Linked DNA regions of Cricetulus griseus. The protein of the gene in region 1 purifies or fractionates together with the protein of each later gene. This does not show direct contact. Links are inferred from orthologs where the notes say so. Each region holds a gene or a part of one and is shown in the gene's direction. Other genes may lie near its edges.

The links.
Region 2: the proteins of Asxl1 (region 1) and Ogt purify together in Homo sapiens (affinity purification with mass spectrometry; 3 studies listed by BioGRID and IntAct, with this or other methods). This does not show direct contact. The link is inferred for Cricetulus griseus from reciprocal best matches to the Homo sapiens genes ASXL1 and OGT.

The regions. Positions count from the first base shown.
Region 1 is NC_048599.1:26,660,312-26,664,344, reverse strand, and holds the start of Asxl1 (polycomb group protein ASXL1), read left to right. Parts: upstream 1-1,233; 5' UTR 1,234-1,790; coding exon 1,791-1,847; intron 1,848-4,033.
Region 2 is NC_048604.1:68,611,924-68,615,423, reverse strand, and holds part of Ogt (UDP-N-acetylglucosamine--peptide N-acetylglucosaminyltransferase 110 kDa subunit), read left to right. Parts: intron 1-791; coding exon 792-950; intron 951-1,052; coding exon 1,053-1,142; intron 1,143-3,500. UniProt on the Homo sapiens protein: Catalyzes the transfer of a single N-acetylglucosamine from UDP-GlcNAc to a serine or threonine residue in cytoplasmic and nuclear proteins resulting in their modification with a beta-linked N-acetylglucosamine (O-GlcNAc).

The DNA.
Region 1 (4,033 bases):
AGCACTGGCTGCCTGTGTTCTGATACCATAGAGTATAGAGAGTTTCCTCATCCACAGAAATCGCTTTTTTACAGTTTTTGTTATTTTTAATGGACCATTAATGCAGTTCAAGATAGACTGTAGAAATGTTTCTGGACATCGATCCAACAAATGCACAGAGAAAAATACTTCATGTTCTGGGTGCTCCAAACCTCATCCTATTTCACACCGGCAATCACTGTGAGCATGTAATAACAGCTATCATTTATTCCATGCCAGAAGCCAAATCACACGAACCTCATAATACGAGGATCCTCCACATTCTCCCCGCCCGGATCTTGTAGGCAGTCCATGCTAATTTGTACCCCATGTTGTGGGATACTATGCTAACACAGGTCAAACTGAGGCTCAGAGGGGTTAAGAGGAGTCACGGAGTGGCAGCTAGTTTTCTAAATCTAGATTCGGTTGATACTAGGACTTGACTTCTCTCCAGGGTACTGCCTTTAAAATAACACTCAGGTGCATTTTCATCTACATGGCCCTTAAGTCTTTATCTACCACCGCATTACCAAATTCACCTGACAGCAATTCTACTGTCGACTGCAGGTGCACCCTCGGCAAATACATAGCGGTATGAAAGTACAAGAGGAAATGGGTAATCGTCTAGGTCGGTCAATCGAGAAATAACCGTTGTACTGATATGAATGTCTCTTTACTTATTACTGTGCGCCTGTTGAGTCATTTAAGGGCGGACCAAAAGGGAAAGCCCTGCTCCTTACCCACCAGAAGTGCAGCAGAGAAGCGGTCATGCAGGGGGAGGCCCAAAGTGGAAGCAGGGTAGCGAGTGGATTACCAACTCTGGATCCTCTCCCTCCCTGGACACCCGGCCCTAGCACCCGAAAGAAAGGCTCGCAACGGGTTAAACGCGGCCAGGGGGAATCCAGCCACCGCCCCTTCCCAGCAACACCTCCCAGAAACCCTCAGGGCTCCGCTAGTTCCCGAACCTCGCGAGACCCCGCCCCATCCTTTCCTGACCGATTTCCCGCCCCCTTCTCTACCGAGCTCGGAACGCAGCAGGGTACGGAAGAGAGTGGGCGGAAAACACGTTCCCGGAGCACGCCGGGAGATGTGGTCCAAGCACTCCAGGCAGCCATTTTCTTCCGGAGCGGGGGAGGCCGAGGAGCTAGTAAGGACTACAAATCCCAGCTACCCTTTCGGTTTGTTTTTGTTCAAAAAAAAAAAAAAAACCCACACTCCCCCTCCTCACTCTTCCCTCTCACACACGCGGACACACACATACACACACACACACACACACCCACGGCTGACACACACGGACCCGGGCGTCGAAGGGAAAGCTGCGTCTTGCCATCCCGGCTCGCCACCAGTCCGGTCTCGGTTTCCCAGCAGCGCGGGAAAGCGGAGGCCCGAGCCGTGACCTCTGACCCCGTGGTTATGCGGAGCCGCCGCATTCCTTAGCCATCGCGGGGCTGCTGCCTCTGCCGCCGCCGCTGCCGCCGCCGCCGCCGCCGCCGCCACCACCGCCGCCGCCACCGTGGGCGACTGACGCAGCGCGGGCGCGTGGAGCCGCCGCCCCTCCCCCACCGCCCCTCGCGCCGGGTCTCGCGCCAGCCGGTCCCGGTGCGCCCGCCGCCCTCTCCGGCCGCACCCGAGTCCTCGCACGCGCCGCCGCCACGCGCCCCCCGCCGCTGCCGCCTCCACCCGAGCCCCGCGCCGCCACGCCCCGACCCGCCCGCCGGAGGTCCCGCGTGGAGCCGCCGCCGACGCCACCGCCGCGGAGGAGGAGGAGGATGAAGGACAAACAGAAGAGGAAGAAGGAGCGCACGTGGGCCGAGGCCGCGCGCCTGGTGAGGCGAGCGCCCGGGGGGCCGCGGCGGGGGGTCTGGGGGTGGGCTCCCGCGGCTCCCGGGGCGGGGGAGGGGCGAGGCCCTGCCCCACCGCAGCAGGGGGCGGGGCCGGCCGAGCACCGAGGTCCCCGGCCGCCCGGCCGGTGGGCTGCGGCGCCTTTTTCTGCACACACCGCCTTCCCCCCCCCCGTGAATTCCTGCGGAGGGGCGAGCTGGCGAGCGGCTCCTCCCCTCCGGGCGCCCGGGCTTCTGTCTCCCCTCCCCCACGCTGGCAGCGGCAGGGGGTCCCGGGAAGCGCCGTTTATTCATCTGCGGGGAGTTAGGTTTCCGGGAAGGGTCGGAAGTGCTTCCCTGACTACTTCGTGGGCAGTGGAGTGTGGGTCACTGGACACCGCGGGGGTGGGACGCCTCCCCTGGTTTCAAGGACACGAGAAGCGTTTAGAGTGTGGGCAATTTAAACCAGGTGTGTGTCGGGAAGCAATTGCTAAGGACCAATCTCGTCCCTGAGCAGAGTGGTTCTCAAAGTTGAGTGCCCAGTGGGAGTATACCTAGGGACTTTTGTTCAAAACGCTGTTTCTAGGACTCATTTGAAACACACTGAACCCGAGATTCTGCTTAGAAACAGTACTTTAGCCAGCTGATTAAGGGATTATTATGCAGGTGGCCCGTGGACATTGCAATCACACTGAACCGCTGTGACTGCACTAGAGGTAGGCACTTTGCAGAGGAACTGAATACACTTTGCAAAGAATTTATGTTCATACAGAGGCTCTTGTTAAGAGGGTTTAGCAAGAAAAAAAAAAAAAGTAAATTGATTGCTTGAACTTGAGCTAGCTGCCTGCCCAGAGTGTTTGTGAACTCGTGAGACCACTTCCTTTTGGTTATATAAAGCCAAAAGACTTGAGGCATGTTCTTATAAAATATTGCTGATGACAATCCTAATGGGATGTTACTTCCTCAGTCGCCACAGTGCAAGGTTATGGTGCATCCTACTTGTCTGTTGACGCCCTGTATTTTATATGTAATTGTTATAATTCAGTTTTAATGATGGAGTGAAGCTTTCTTATTGTCCCTTTTACTGAAAAGTGAGTTCTGCTTCAAAAGTGTCAGAGGTTGATAAAAATCTAGAGTGCAACCTTGTCTTTTCTTGGACTCATGAAAGCCAGTTATTGATTTAACCAGGCTGTTTGAGCTACCAGAGAATTTCCACTGGCGTTCCTGATCATCTTCTCTTGTTACCCTGGGAACAGTAACGGGGATTGTTTGTGTGAAGGTTGTAGTTCGGTTTATTTTTTTTTTTCTGGCATATGAAAATTGAAACTCCTTGGTGGTGTTTTTGCCCCCCCCTTCTGTGATTCAATCAAAAACTAGAACATTTGGAAAAAGCTGAAATATAAAGCATGTTTTATTTTGCCATGGAGGTTGTTGAGTCTTGACTGTTCATTGAAATTTTGAGTTTCTGTGTGCAGGTGTTTATGATTCTGGGCACCCAAAGAAAATTTGCTTGCCCAGAACCCTACTTGTTAGAGGTAGGTGAAAGTACTTTCAAATCCCGTGTTATTTGTGTCCTGGCAATTCTAAAAAATTTCTCATCTCAAAGCTCCTTTGATTCTTATTAGTTGGACAGCTCTAGCAATTTGGAATTGCTTTTATTTTAAGCCTCTTTAGGTTCTTAAATTTACTGTGGTTTGAATTCCATGGTTAAGGTTGCTATTTCTATTTTATCATTGGCTCACCTTCAAGCTCAATTATCTTAAGTAAGTTATTTCTCTTTTTTTTCTTTGACTCTTCAGTTAAAAATAGTAATCCGAACAGGAATTTCTTTTGTGTTGTACATTTGAAAGAGGACTTGTGGGAACGCCGTATGCAATTTTGCATATCTTTTATGTGGTTTTGTGTTTTAGAATTTTCTGTGTCTTTGTGGGGGTGAGAGGGAGACTTGAGTCTTCTTCCCATTTAAAAAAAAGTCTTGTCCTACTGAGTGCTGGGGAATTTATTAGCTTCTACTGCATAGGGAACACCTGGCCAGCAGTGAGTGACAGTGCCAGGGCTGTTCATTTTGTAACAGAATTATTATTAACTACTTTTGGACAATTGAATTCAGTGTTTGTGGTGACCACATACATTAGTCAGGTGGAAGGTTCTAATTGCTCCTGGCCCCTCTCAGATTGGCAAGAAGATAATAA
Region 2 (3,500 bases), on another chromosome or scaffold:
ATTCACATTTCTTCACTTAGAAGTCTGTTCAGGCTGTTTCATAAGTCTCAGAACAGGTGAGGTATGAAGCAACCATCATACAGCTGCTCACCTTCCTTGGGGCCACGTGAATTCAATGAAGTTTACTGTCCAGATTTTTTCATAGTTAGGGGTTTATATGATTTTAGGTTTCTATCTTCATTTATTATACTTAATCGTTTAAAAGAGAGCGTCTTATGTATACCAGATTGGCCTTAAACTCTCTTTGTAACTGAGGATTACCTCGAACCTCTGATTCCACGTCCCAGTTGGAGGGATCGCAGGAGTGCACCAACCAGTCCATTTATTTTGTCTCACTATGTCACACTGGCTGGCCTGGAACTCAGTATGTAGACCAGGCTGCCTTCAAACTCAGAGATCCATATGTCTCACTTGCTGATGATTGGGATCAATGAAGGGCACCATCAAGTCTGCTTTTTATGTAGTTCTGGGGATGGAACCCTTATGGCTTTATGCATATTAGGCAAAACACACTACAAAGTGAGCTATATCACCAGCCCCCGTTATCAGGTTTTTTGTTTGTTTGTTTTTTTGAGACAGGGTTTCTCTGTGTAGCTTTGGAGCCTATCCAGGCACTCACTCTGTAGACCAGGCTGGCCTGGAACTCACAGAGATCTGCATTCCTCTGCCTCCCAAGTGCTGGGATTAAAGACCTGCACCACTGACGCCCTACATTAGTTTTTTTTTTTTTTTTTAAGATAAGATTTACACAAGACTTGACTTTACTAATGAACATTGTATTCTGTCGGTAGATTAATGTCCTTCATAAACCACCATATGAACATCCAAAAGACTTGAAACTCAGTGATGGACGATTGCGTGTGGGATATGTGAGTTCTGACTTTGGGAACCACCCTACTTCTCACCTTATGCAGTCTATTCCAGGCATGCACAATCCTGATAAGTTTGAGGTAAGCATAGTTTTTGGTGGCTTTACTCTGTCATTGGTATTAAGCTCACTGTCTTGAGAAGGTTGGAGCCAAGGTTATTAAGTACACCCTCCTGCCTTTCAGGTGTTCTGCTATGCCCTGAGCCCAGATGACGGTACAAACTTCCGAGTGAAGGTGATGGCAGAAGCCAATCATTTCATTGATCTTTCTCAGGTAGGCAAAACACTGTCCCTTTTTCTAAGGTCTTAAGATTTCATACTAAACAAAGTATGTGTTTGGTATAGTATGTTGCTGTGTGCATGTATGAGGACAGGTGCCCAAGGAGGCCAGAACAGAGTGTCAGATCTCCCAAACTTGGAGTTACAGAAGGTATTACATGGGTGCTGGGAGCAAATGCAGGTCCTCTGCAAACACAGCAAGTACCTTTATCTCTCCAGTTTCTAAATTTTGGATAAATTTGAAAAACAAACTATTGATAGAGTGGTGTTTTTTGTATGAGGAATTGATGGAGGGCCTCATACTTCTACGATTGTAGTTTTTGATGGGCATTAAACAGGAGAAACTACTGTATGTGGGCAGTTTGTCCTTATTTCTTTGGTCATTTACATTTATATTTGGCATGATTTTTAAGTTGCACATAAAATAGAAATGTGGTATAACTATTTGATGTATAACTTTTCTGGGCATTGAGCCTGCACTCAACAAGATGCTTTTTTGTTTGTTTTTTGAGACGGGATTACTCTGTAGCTTTGGAGCCTGTCCTGGAATTCACTCTGTACACAAGGCTGGCTTCTAACTTACAGATAGATATTCACCGGCCTCTGCCTCCCAAGTGCTGGGATTAAAGGCGTACGCCACCACCACCCAGCAAGATAAGATAATATTGAACAAAGTCAAGAAGGGTAATAGTAGTGTCAAAGATTTCTTTCAAAAGCTAGCCTTGGCTAAACAGCTAGTTTAAGACCAGCCTAGGCTACATGAGACCCCATCTCATTAAAAAAAATGTAGCAGCACAAAAGCCCATCTATTTCTGAGTTAAAGCATGCACTACAATGCCTCTTCCCTTCAATTTTTTTTTTTCCGAACCACAATCCTTCCTCCTCCCCATAATTATTTTCATTTTTGCTTTTTTCAAGACAGGGCTTCTCTATAACAGCTCTGTGGCTGTCCTGGAACTTACATAGATCCTCCTGCCTTTGCCTCCTGAGTCCTTGGATTAAAGGCCACCACTGCCTGGCTTTACATTTTTTTGATAGATTTAATCTGTATGAGTGTTATGCTTGTGTATATGTGCACCACGTATGTACATCATGTATGTGCTGGTGCTTTTGGAGGTCAGCAGTTGGATGCCCTGGAACTCGATTTGCATACAGATGGTTGTTAATTACCATATGGGTGAGGACTTCTACATGTAGTCCCTTCAAGAGCAACAGCAAGTACTCTTGACCACCAAGCCATCTCTAGCCCTGCACCCCTTTTTGTGACAGGATCTCACTAGGCAGTACTCTTCAGTTGCTAGGATTATAGGTACATGCCACCCTAGTTTTTTCTATTTTTGGTATATGTACATGTACATGTGAATGTGGTATATGTCATAGTGTGCACATGTAGGTGAACTTGCAGGTTCACACGCTGGTCTAGGTAGGGCGTTGGATTGTTTTTTTAAGAAGCAGGCTTTTTAAAAGATTTATTATGTATACAGTGTTCTGCCTGCATGCATGCTTGCATGGCAGAAGAGGGCACCAGATCTCATTAGAGATGGTTGTGAGCCACCATGTGTTTGCTGGGAATTGAACTCAAGACCTATGGAAGAACAGCACGTGTTCTTAACCTCTGAGCCATCTCTCCAGCCTTGTTTTTGTTTGTTTGTTTGTTTGTTTGTTTGTTTTGAGACAGGGCATGTTCTCTACATAACCCTGGCTATTCTGTAGTCAACTAAACTCACTGAGACCTACCTGTCTCTGCCTCCCAAATTGTGGGATTAAAGGTTTGTGCCACCAGACCCAGCCAACTGTGGAGATCTTGCTCTATCACTCTCTGCCTTATTTTCTCAAGACCAGGTCTCTCACTGAACCTGGCTCATCTTCCTGTCTTTAACCCCCACAGACCTGAGGTTCTAGGTACACATGTGTGGTCACATCTGCCTTTTTATGTGGATGCTGGAATCCAAATTTAGGTCCTCTTGCTTGCATAGCAAGCACTCTTATCACTTGAGTCATCTCTAATCCTCTATATTATTTCCCATTGAGATCCTGTGTAATTGATTGATCGCCGGCTGATTGCAAACTCATGTTTTTTGGTTGTTTGTTTGTTTTTTGTTTTTTTGAGACATGGTTTCTCGGTGTGCTTTGGAGGTTGTCCTGGAACTTGCTCTCTAGACCAGGCTGGCCTGGAACTCACAGAGATCCACCTGCCTCTGCCTCCGAGTGCACAAACTCATGATTTTGTCTCAGATTTTCTGAGTGTTTGGCTTTAAGGCTTGTAACAATGTGCTTGGCCTCTTCTTCATTTTTTAAAAACACATTTCAAATACTAGCTCCTTTCTGTAACCCTGTTGCTAATCCATCAAAT